Rattus norvegicus: one gene and its partners. The protein of the gene in region 2 purifies or fractionates together with the protein of the main gene of each other region. This does not show direct contact. Links are inferred from orthologs where the notes say so. Each region holds a gene or a part of one and is shown on either strand. Other genes may lie near its edges.

Evidence for each region.
Region 1: the proteins of Cebpb (region 2) and Atf2 purify together in Homo sapiens (affinity purification with western blotting; 3 studies listed by BioGRID and IntAct, with this or other methods). This does not show direct contact. The link is inferred for Rattus norvegicus from reciprocal best matches to the Homo sapiens genes CEBPB and ATF2.
Region 3: the proteins of Cebpb (region 2) and Atf3 purify together in Homo sapiens (affinity purification with western blotting; 3 studies listed by BioGRID and IntAct, with this or other methods). This does not show direct contact. The link is inferred for Rattus norvegicus from reciprocal best matches to the Homo sapiens genes CEBPB and ATF3.

What each region holds. Positions count from the first base shown.
Region 1 is NC_086021.1:79,199,915-79,204,038, forward strand, and holds the start of Atf2 (cyclic AMP-dependent transcription factor ATF-2), read right to left. Parts: upstream 2,832-4,124; 5' UTR 2,692-2,831; intron 2,560-2,691; exon of another isoform or gene 2,159-2,559; intron 1-2,158. UniProt on the Homo sapiens protein: Transcriptional activator which regulates the transcription of various genes, including those involved in anti-apoptosis, cell growth, and DNA damage response.
Region 2 is NC_086021.1:176,815,647-176,818,994, forward strand, and holds Cebpb (CCAAT/enhancer-binding protein beta), read left to right. Parts: upstream 1-1,358; 5' UTR 1,359-1,411; coding exon 1,412-2,305; 3' UTR 2,306-2,790; downstream 2,791-3,348. UniProt on the Homo sapiens protein: Important transcription factor regulating the expression of genes involved in immune and inflammatory responses. Also plays a significant role in adipogenesis, as well as in the gluconeogenic pathway, liver regeneration, and hematopoiesis.
Region 3 is NC_086031.1:105,281,878-105,285,831, forward strand, and holds the end of Atf3 (cyclic AMP-dependent transcription factor ATF-3), read right to left. Parts: intron 3,372-3,954; coding exon 3,264-3,371; intron 1,946-3,263; coding exon 1,748-1,945; 3' UTR 560-1,747; downstream 1-559.

The DNA of each region.
Region 1 (4,124 bases), about 98 Mb from region 2:
CGCCTCCCCAAGACAATAATAATGATGGTGATCACTATTTCTTCAACATTATAGAGTTACATATAGGGCTAATGAGATGGTCCAGTAAGTAAAGCACTTGCCACCACGCCTGATGACCAGGGGTTCATCCTCAGAACTCATGTTGGAGAAAGGGAACATTTATTCCTCAAAGTTGTCCTTTAATCTCCATAAATATGCTATCATCCACAAGGCAGGAAGGCAGACAAGCATATATACACACACAAATGTAAAAATAAAAACAAATTACACAGAGGTTTTGAGGACGTAGACCTCAATAAAAAAGAGCATACCTTTAGTCCCAGTACTTGGGAGGTAGAGGTAGGCAGGATCTTTATGAGGTGGAGGCCAGCCTGGTTTACAAGCAAGTTCCAGTATAGCCAAACTACAGAGAGAAACTATGTCTGAAAAAAAAAAATAAATGAAAAGAGCTTTCCTAGCACGGGTAGAAAAGCAAACAAAGGACTAGGATGGCTCAACAGCTCCTGTGTTCTTGCAGGGAAGCTGGGCTAGGTTCCTAGCACCCACATGGTAGTTCATAGTAATCTGTAACTCTAGTTTTAGGGACTCAGGATTTACAATATCCTCTAAGGGCACTGCCCATAAATGGTGCACATACATATATGTAAGCAAAACACAAAAATAAGTAAACCTTAAAAAAAACAAACAGAACAAGTTGCATTTCAGGCAAAATTTCAGTCTAAAGAAATAGATGTGAATATAAGACAAAATGTTAAACTATTGATTATATAAGGACAGGTGGTTTTGTAGGTTACAAGTTAATACTGGGAGTATTATATGTAATAATTTTCATAGAGGTCAGTTGAATTATCTAATTACTTCATTGAATTCTAATCAAGGAGGATTTCAGTAAAAATTTTGCTTTAAATATGAAAGATTTATTTACTTTTCTACGGGCATTTTAATAAGAGTAATAAAAGAAATACCAGTTCACAGAAACACACACATTGGAAGAGCCTAAAGGCAAAAATGAGTGGAAACAGCAGGTAAGGTAAAGCTGTTTACTAGACCTAGCAATATAATTGATTAGGAGAGTACAGATAAATAATTAAAACTCAAGTTTTCAAGATTTTTTAAAAGTTAAAAAAAACCCTAGATTTCTTGACTTAATGTTAGTCATGATTTTAGTGGATAGTATCATTCATCTCAAAACAATACAGCTTTAAAAATTTAAATACCCATCAAAACATCTCTGCAATTACTTATTAATGATTTTTAAGACCTAGAAGTTTAATTATCACTCAACACTATCAATGGCCTTAAAGATCTATGAACTTAGTTTTCTTGACCAATTATATAGGATATGTTTTTAGAATGCTTTACAAAATAATCTCTTGGCTTTTGAAAAAAGTTTATTGCAGGGATTCTTCAAATAGGTTTAGCAAATTTAAATACAAGATTCTATTTCAGGAAGTCATCTAGAATTAACTGTTTTAAAATAAGCTTTTATAAAGTCTTACAATTTGGGTGCAAGAGACCCAGGCCATTTGGCGCTTAATGAGTAGTATTCCTGGAAAGGTTATTACTTGACAATGGCCAAGGGTTAAGAATTCCTTCAAATTGGACAAAATAAGCTTCTCAGAATAGTGGGTGTTTGGTCAGATTTCAAATATAGCATTACATGCATGTGGTGTGAACGTGTCCATAATTTATAATCCCCAAGAAACTGTGACTTCCACAAGGTAATCTAGGTATTAGTCAACAGGCCTAAGGGTCCACCATGAGTAATCCCTTTTACTCCATTATGTTGGTGGTAGTTTCACTCCACCTCCTCAGTTCTAAGAGACTCCACTAAGAAGAGACAATTTTATATTACCTATTGCATAAAAATAATGCCCATCTCCTCCAAGGTCTTGGTTCAATGAGTGAGCGCCATGGGGAGACATACACACATCCCTCCCTCCCTCTCTTCCTTGTCCCTGGGGTAATACAAGGCAGATTATTTCCCTGCAAAAGCTGTGCAGAACACCCGTCGAAGTGAATGGGGGGAAATAGCAGAATCAACCTGCACCCACACCTCAGCCCCGCCCCACCTGGAAAGGGAGGGGGGTGGCGAGAGTATGAGGGTGGCAGAAAGGACAGAAAAGGCCGAGACAACCAGCCCCCAGGTTCTCCATACCATTGGCTCCGTCATGTTCCGCCGAGGCCAGAGACCCCGGCCAGATTTTCAGTCAAGCTCCCCAATCCGTCACCGCGGATTCATCCCAAACCCCGCGGTCCACAATCGCCCGGTGCCCGGTGGGGAGCCCAGCATTGGCCCTTTGGCGGCCCGATCAAGGACCTGAGGTGGGGGTCTCCCCGTCAGATGGGCGGATCCGAAGAGCGCCCTGGGGACCTCGCAAGTGACCACACAAGAGGATAAGTCGGAGGGAGGGGTCTGAGAGGAGCCGTTATTCCTTCTCGCTCACGCTTGGGAAAGCGCGCGAGGGAGGGGCCGGAGCCCCAGCGCGTTACCTAACGGTCCGGTCGGTCCGCCAGGCCTGAGGCGGAGGCGCGGCTACAGCGGTCCGGAGGGTTGGGGTCCACAGCAGGGGCGCAAAAGGGGTGGGAGGCGGGGGGTGGGGACTACAGGCAGCGACGTCGCCATGTTAGCACCTTCTTCCTCCGTCTCCCTACAGCCTCCAAGCCTGTGGCCCTTTCACCATTACTCACCTTTCCAGGTCACTAATTCATGTTCCTTTCAGCCACCAGCGAGCCCGGAGCGCTGCCGTGTTTACAAACTAGCCCCGGAGGAAAGGGCTGAATCGCACTTTAAAGGCCACGGGCTCCCACAGGCTTCCGTCCTCTCTCGCGAGATCCGACTGACAAGCCTTCTCCCCGCCCCACTCCCGGCATCCCCGCCGCTTTCTTCTCGCGCCCCTCCCCTTCACGCACACGCCCCTTCCTGATTTCCTCCGAAGGAGCGCCTGCAGGTCAGGTGACTCCGTCCTACACCAGGAAAAGGGCGGGCCTTCGGGAGGGCGGGGGGCGGGGAGGCGGGAACCAAAGAACACTCGGACGCTAGTGATTGGGCGAAGAGCAAGAAAGGCGGGAAGAAGTTCCGAAGGGGCGTGGCCAGGGTGCCCAAGGACCGTTGTTTCCGTAACCAGGGAACTGCAGAAAGCTGTGATTGGCAGCCATAGGGAGGCGGGCACCGGAGGCGGTACCGGATCTGGGGCGCGCGCGCAGGTGGCGGTGGAGAGTACAGGAGGGCGTGGGCGGTGTGAGAGAAGAAAGGTGAGGTCGGGGGAATCTAAAGGAACCCAGCCCCGGCTGCTGGTGTCTCCTTCATCTTGGTTTCCGGCCTCTCTAGGGATATGGGGATATAAAGGGAGACGCTTCTGAACCACCCTCCGAATACCCAGAAGCCAGAGCCGGGGAGCTACGCTTAAAGGTTTTGGAGAAAGGATTTGGCAGTCATCACCCCGTGTGCGGAGTGAAGCAAAATAAGTCAGCCCTGTGTAGAAAAAAGAAACCTTTTCTCAGAGAGGTCTTTGTTTGGATTTTACGAAGCCAGAACTGGAGCTGATCTTCGCCCCCACCCTGCGTCAAGTACATGGTGTATTACAGCACATACGAGTATGTTCAAAGGCAGTGATCAGAAGGAAATACACCGTCTTCCAATCCCATGTCATATTTTAAAACAAAGCAACGATCTTTTTCCTGGAGAAAAATCCTTGGAATTATGGGATTTTCTTTTCTCAAATTTCCTTTACTTAGTTACATATAAAAATACTAATTTTAGAGACTGGAGAGATGTCTCAGCGGTTAAAAGCACTAGATGCTCTTCCAGAGGACTTGGGTTCAATCCCCAGCACCCACATGCAACCCACACTGGTCTGTAACTCCACTTCCAGGAGACCTGACAAAACACCAATGCACATAAGACCGAAATAATTTAAAAATACCAATTTCAATAGGATCGTTTCATTCTTTTAAAGCTTAAGAAATCGGTATTAATGTTTTAAAGAGGACTAAAGGGCGCCAATGAGAACAGCATTCTTCCCACAATACTTTCCTTTTACTTTGTAAATTGTAGTGCCAAAGATATGCCTGTTAATTTTACCAAGTAGGTTTCAAAAACTGGGAGAGGCAGAGGCGGGGAG
Region 2 (3,348 bases):
GTGTTGGATGAGGGAAGGCCTGTCAGTGAAGCCCCAATGTCCCACTTTATAGCCAGGCCTGGCTGGGTGGCCCTGGGGATGTCACCACGCCTCTCTGGGCCCTGATCCCTTCCTGGCCCAGAGGCTGCTGGGAAGGCCAGAAAGCCGCAGGCAGGGCTAGTGTCTTATCCTTTCCCTCCCTGCCCCCCACCCCCAAGGGCACAGGGAGATGTCATTTCTCCAGCTCTTGGGGGCGGAGGTCACCCCAGCTCAGCAGATAACACCGAAGGTTGAGCAACACCCCGCCAGCTTGCCGGGGCCAGGCCTGGGGTCAATGGGTCGGGGGTCAGCCCCAGGCAGGTTGGCAGCTCCCGCTTGAGTGGCCCGGCTGGGAGTGGCAGAAGAGTGGGCCCCCAAAGTTGTCCTGGGCCTTCTCGGAAGAGTCTCACCGGGGAGAGGCTGGTGGTCCAACCTGGTGCCCATTCAAGTGCATGGAGAGTTTGTTTTTCCAGCTCTCCGGGTGACCGTTGCGTCCTTACGACTGGACTTGGGTCTGCCATGTTCCCACCGCAACCACCTGAGGAGCTGCAGCCTCCGGGGAGGGCTGTGCGGGTCTTTCTTGGGGTCCATTTGTCTCTGATACCCGGACACCACTACCGACAATACCAACACTGTCCACGGAGGAAACTCAGAGGAGCAAAGTGACTCACCCACAGACACAGTGTGGCAGAACCCCCACCCTTGCCACCTTCGCGGAGAGGCGTGGGGAGTGGAGTAGGCTGGTGCGGTGGGCGGGCCATACAAAGGGTTGAGGGTTGGGATCCGGGGACAGTAAGCATCCCCGGGGTGGGCGTGCACAGGGTGGAGAGTTCTGCTTCCAGGAGTTGGGGTCTCAGAGGCGTGGGCAGCACCTGGGTGGGCGGACATGCACCGGGTGGAAGGCTGTTTCCAGGGAGTTGGGGACCGGGGACAGCGGGCGGGATCCGACGGTTGGGGTCGTGCACCGGGTGGACTGATCTGTTTCCCAGAAGTTGGGGGCCCGGGAGAGCGGACAGGAGCCGGACCAGTCACCGCGTCCTCCAGCAGGGGGCGGGCGGCGGCAGCGCTCCTCAGTGTTCCCGAGGGGCGGGAAGGGGGCGGGCTAGCGTCACCCGCGTCCGTGGCGATCGCGGGGCTGGCGGGGCGCCCAGGACACCGCTCAGTATCCCGCGCGCGGACCCCCGCCGCTCCCCACTCCCCGCCGCGCCCTCTCGCGCTCCCGCGGCCGGGCAATGACGCGCACCGACCCGGCGGCGGGGCGGCGGGAGGGGCCCCGGCGTGACGCAGCCCGTTGCCAGGCGCCGCCTTATAAACCTCCCGCTCGGCCGCCGCCGAGCCGAGTCCGAGCCGCGCACGGGACCGGGACGCAGCGGAGCCCGCGGGCCCCGCGTTCATGCACCGCCTGCTGGCCTGGGACGCAGCATGCCTCCCGCCGCCGCCCGCCGCCTTTAGACCCATGGAAGTGGCCAACTTCTACTACGAGCCCGACTGCCTGGCCTACGGGGCCAAGGCGGCCCGCGCCGCGCCGCGCGCCCCCGCCGCCGAGCCGGCCATCGGCGAGCACGAGCGCGCCATCGACTTCAGCCCCTACCTGGAGCCGCTCGCGCCCGCCGCCGCGGACTTCGCCGCGCCCGCGCCCGCGCACCACGACTTCCTTTCCGACCTCTTCGCCGACGACTACGGCGCCAAGCCGAGCAAGAAGCCGTCCGACTACGGTTACGTGAGCCTCGGCCGCGCGGGCGCCAAGGCCGCACCGCCCGCCTGCTTCCCGCCGCCGCCTCCCGCCGCACTCAAGGCCGAGCCGGGCTTCGAACCCGCGGACTGCAAGCGCGCGGACGACGCGCCCGCCATGGCGGCCGGCTTCCCGTTCGCCCTGCGCGCCTACCTGGGCTACCAGGCGACGCCGAGCGGCAGCAGCGGCAGCCTGTCCACGTCGTCGTCGTCCAGCCCGCCCGGGACGCCGAGCCCCGCCGACGCCAAGGCCGCGCCCGCCGCCTGCTTCGCGGGGCCGCCGGCCGCGCCCGCCAAGGCCAAGGCCAAGAAGGCGGTGGACAAGCTGAGCGACGAGTACAAGATGCGGCGCGAGCGCAACAACATCGCGGTGCGCAAGAGCCGCGACAAGGCCAAGATGCGCAACCTGGAGACGCAGCACAAGGTGCTGGAGCTGACGGCGGAGAACGAGCGGCTGCAGAAGAAGGTGGAGCAGCTGTCGCGAGAGCTCAGCACGCTGCGGAACTTGTTCAAGCAGCTGCCCGAGCCGCTGCTGGCCTCGGCGGGTCACTGCTAGCCCGGCGGGGGTGGCGTGGGGGCGCCGCGGCCACCCTGGGCACCGTGCGCCCTGCCCCGCGCGCTCCGTCCCCGCGCGCGCCCGGGGCACCGTGCGTGCACCGCGCGCACCTGCACCTGCACCGAGGGGACACCGTGGGCACCGCGCGCACGCACCTGCACCGCGCACCGGGTTTCGGGACTTGATGCAATCCGGATCAAACGTGGCTGAGCGCGTGTGGACACGGGACTGACGCAACACACGTGTAACTGTCAGCCGGGCCCTGAGTAATCACTTAAAGATGTTCCTGCGGGGTTGTTGCTGTTGATGTTTTTGTTTTTGTTTTTTGTTTTTTGTTTTTTTTTTGGTCTTATTATTTTTTTGTATTATATAAAAAAGTTCTATTTCTATGAGAAAAGAGGCGTATGTATATTTTGAGAACCTTTTCCGTTTCGAGCATTAAAGTGAAGACATTTTAATAAACTTTTTTGGAGAATGTTTAAAAAGCCTTTTGGGGGCAGTAGTTGGCTTTTGAAAAAAAATTTTTTTTCTTCCCTCCTGACTTTGGATTTATGCGAGATTTTGTTTTTTGTGTTTCTGGTGTGTAGGGGGCTGCGGGTTATTTTTGGGTTGTGTGTGGTGGTGGGTGGGGGTGTCGCATCTGGGTTTTTCTCCTCCCCTGGCAGATGGGATGCCAGCCCCTCCCCCCAGGAGAGGGGGCAGAGTGCCGGGTCAGGAATTCAGGGTGACTCAGCACCCATGGGTGCCGGGGACCTTGCTAGAAACCCTGCTTGGGACGGGCCGCCCTCTGGGCTTGGTTTGAGTATCAGGCTTGTGTTGACTAGGCAGGCAGTGACTATGTAGGAAGGGCTAGTCCAGACAGCCGGATCAGGGAGGTGAGCACTGTGTTCAAAGTACTGTGTGTTTGGTGGTGTGTAGCGCCCCCCCCACCCCATCCCATGTCTGTTTGGTTTCTATGTCCCTGTGTAGCTGGAAGAGAGACTGGGCCAAGAGGAGGGCGAAGGGGACAGACAGTTCCTTCTCCACTTTCCCTTTCTCACTAC
Region 3 (3,954 bases), on a different chromosome or scaffold from region 2:
GACACACCTGTAGCGTTGTTTCGGGGTTTGTCAATGAGAGGCACGGAGTGGGAAGTCACCCACCTGGGCTGCAGAGCTGGCTCAGTATTTAAGAGCTCTTCTGGTCTCTGTGGGCAACTGCATTCATGTACACCACACACACACACACACACACACACACACACACACACACACACACACACACGATTATAAATAAAAATAAATGGAGGTGGTGAGATGGATCAGCAGTTAACAACAGTACTTGGTGCTCTCGGGGAAGATCTGGGTTCCGTTCCCAGCAACTACATGGTAGCTTGCAACCCCTCTGAAACCCCAGTTCCAGGGAACCCAATGCCCTCCTCTTCTGGCCTCCCCAGGCACTGCATGCACGTGGCACACAGACATACATGCAGACAAAATACCCATACACATAAAATATGAATTACTAACTGCCCTACCTAGTGGTCTCCCCATGAACGAAGGAAGCCATCCGTCCCCAAACACTCAGTGCTGACCACCCCATGACAGAAAGGCATCATCACCATTTCAACACTCAGCAGAAACCAGTGCCACGCTAAGGTTTACCAGGTCTCATTCTGATATTTTATTACGTTGACAGGCTAGGAATACTGGGATAAATAAGTAACGTTCTCTCTTACAGAAAACTGTAATATACTACTGAGTCGGATTGAACACTGAGGATTTCACAGAAACATCAGAATTTTAACAGTAGCCAGAGCCCTGGTGGCCAGTGGGAGGGACCTCCCAGCTGAAATACTCTGGACCGCATCTCAAAATAGCTTCAAGACAAAAGCGCAGTTAACATCCCACAGTGCAGACACCTTCCTTGCCCCACTCCTGGCTTCAAATACCAGTCTCCACGGGCTGTGGTTTTTGGTGGGAAGGAAGGGAAAACGGAGAATCCTTGGCTCTTCCTGCCCTGTCACTGAGTGTGGAGTCCTACGCCCTTTGAAAGCGGGACTTTGTGCCTTCGTTCTGTGACATTGTAACAGTTTGTAGCCAAGGACAGCTGCTGTGCCCGGGTTCTTCCTCAGCAGTGGGTACAGGGGAAGGAGGCATCAGTCCTCGGTCAGCACAGAGTAGCACAGCTGGTCATCAGCCAGTTTACATGGCCACCCAAACACTTTTGGGGGATATTGTCCACAGTGGCAGACCCCCAAACTCTCGGAAATCAGGTCTGATGAAACTCCCGGAAAAAAATCACGCCAATGTTGTGCAAGACAAACATCTAAATAGCACAACACCAGGCTCAGAAATGAATGCCCTATGCACAGTCAGTCTAGGACAGAACAGCATAGTTTCTAGAAAGCATACCCTGGCCATTGGACAACTTCAATGATGAATGTTCTCACTCCATCTTCCCTAGGAGGGATGTTGTCAGCCGCAGTGGAGGACGTGGTCCCACCCCACCTGTCAAGGTAGACACTTCTGCCTGCATCCCATTAGTGCGATCCTGCTTTGCATGGGACCCCAGCCTGGGGCCAGCTAGGTCATCTGAGAATGGCCGGGATGGTAAGGCCTAAATCCTGGAGCCGGTGAGACAAAGGATGCTCCTGCCTGCTCCACGGTTCACTCGGGGACAGAGTGGGACAACGCAGTAGTCACCGCAGGCCCTCCTGACCCAACAGCTCGTGGCTGCTGAGATTCTAGAAGTGCACAGGAAGCCAGTTTTCCAATGGCTTCAGGGTTTGGGGTGGAAAAGGAGGATTCAGTAAGGACTCCCCAATTGCCCCCATGCCACCTCTGCTTAGCTCTGCAATGTTCCTTCTTTTATCTGTTGGATAAAAAGGTTCCTCTCGTCTTCCGGCGTCCGCCCGTTCTGAGCCCGGACGATACACGTGGGCCGGTGCAGGTTGAGCATGTAAATCAGATGCTGCTTCTCATTCTTCAGCTCCTCGATCTGGGCCTTCAGTTCGGCATTCACACTCTCCAGTTTCTCTGACTCCTGAGGGATGATCAACAGACAGCAGCATTATGGAGGGAGCCAAGGGGCAGGGAGATGGGGGGCCACCTGGAATCCTTGGGGCTCCCCAGACTGAGACCTGCTAGCAGAACCGTCCTACCACAAGGATGGGAGGACCAAACTAGGTGGAAGGTGGAAGGTACAGGGTTTCCTGTAGAGGGCTCTGAAGTTGGGAGACGTGAAAGAAAGCTTAGGGACAGCACCGAGCCGGGCGCCCATGCTCGATGGAACTGCACCAAGGGCTCAGAGAGAGCTGCTCTAGTTCACTGCCCGTGGGGAAGGCATCTGGGCCCCACAGGATCGTGGGAGCTATCGAGGAACCCAAACGGGTGGTGTGGAGTTGTCTTTGAATTTCTGATCTCACCAAGACTCCCATGTCCACAGACGTATTCTCAGAAACACCAAAGCTGCCCAAGTTTTTTTTCACTGACCCTGAAGTAGCGAGCAGACAACCCAGGCTTTTACATCTCTTTGAGAAGCTGCCCTGCACACACTTGGGAGAGCAGACATGGCCCCTGCAAAGACTTCCAGGCTCTGTAGCTTGCCTTGCCTGTGAACCCATGCTGTACCCCTGGTGCTTGGTGTGGGGTGTCAGCCTCCCAGGGTGCTCAGTGCTGGATAAGCATGGAGTAGAGAGGAGGGTTCAGATCCAGGGAGGAGCACTGTAAGCACCACTTCAGCACCGTAACTTGAAGAGATTAATGCAAGCTTTTCCTGAGAGCCAAAGGCAGTGGCAGGGCTTTGCAGTTTGTATTTGTTAAAACTGATGAGTAAAGTCTCTTTAAATAGGCTGGTGTGACCCGCAAGTCTAGAAACTGCTGGGGATTTGTGCCACAGCATGCATGTGGAGGTCAGAGGTCACGTTTAGAAACCAGTTCTCTCCTTCCACAGCGGGTTCTGGGTGTCAAACTAGGGTGCCACATATGCATTGCAAGGACCTTTACTCATGAGCCAGCTTGCTGGCCGTGTGTGTGTGTGTGTGTGTGTGTGTGTGTGTGTGTGTATGTGTATGTATATATAAATGGATATATATATACACATATGCCTATACATGTGTGTGTATGTATGTGTACACATATACATCTCCAGAATCGCTTCCACCATGCTTTTTTTTTTTTCCTTCGGAGCTGGGGACCGAACTCAGGGCCTTGTGCTTGCTAGGCAAGCGCTCTACCACTGAGCTAAATCCCCAACACCCCCCTCCCCCCCTGCTTCCACCTTGCTAATAGCTTTGCTCTACCCTCTGCCTACAGCTGGCATTTCCCTCCCCTCAGGGGAGGTTGGGCCAGGCGGGACTCACCTTCTGCAGGCACTCTGTCTTCTCTTTTTTCTTGTTTCGACACTTGGCAGCAGCAATTTTGTTTCTTTCCCGCCGCCTCCTTTTTCTCTCATCTTCTTCAGGGGCCACCTATAAAATCCGAAAGGCACACATTTAAATACCAAGGCTGTGGGGTCTTGTGTGCTGTGGGGTCTTGTGTGTCTGTATATCTGCTGTCTGTGTATATATCTGCCACGTGCATTCATGGTGATTTCAGAGACCAGAAGTCAGTGTTGGATCATCAGCAGCTGCTGTGAGCCACCCATTGCACATGCTGGGAGCTCCAGTCCCCTGGAAGAGCGGGAAGTGCTCTTAACCACGGCGCCATCTCTCCGGCCTCGGGCCTGAGGGTTTTGTATGATCTCCCGTCACACGCATGTGCATTCACACATGTGAGTAACAAAATCTAAGTCCTGTTCAGTAAAATGGAATTATATTTGAAATTAGTAAATTAAAGTCTGCTTTAAAGACACAAGACCTGCCTTTAAAATGCATTTGCACTTTGAAACAAGAATTTGAATTTTAAATTAATAACCACTGAATTAATTAACCACTGAAGCTAGAATCAGAAATGACCACATTGCCCCTTAGCCACACTCTCCTGAGAGCGGTGCTGTTTGAGGAGGTTGTGGAACCTTTGGGGTGGGAAACATGACTGACAAGGGTGGATTGT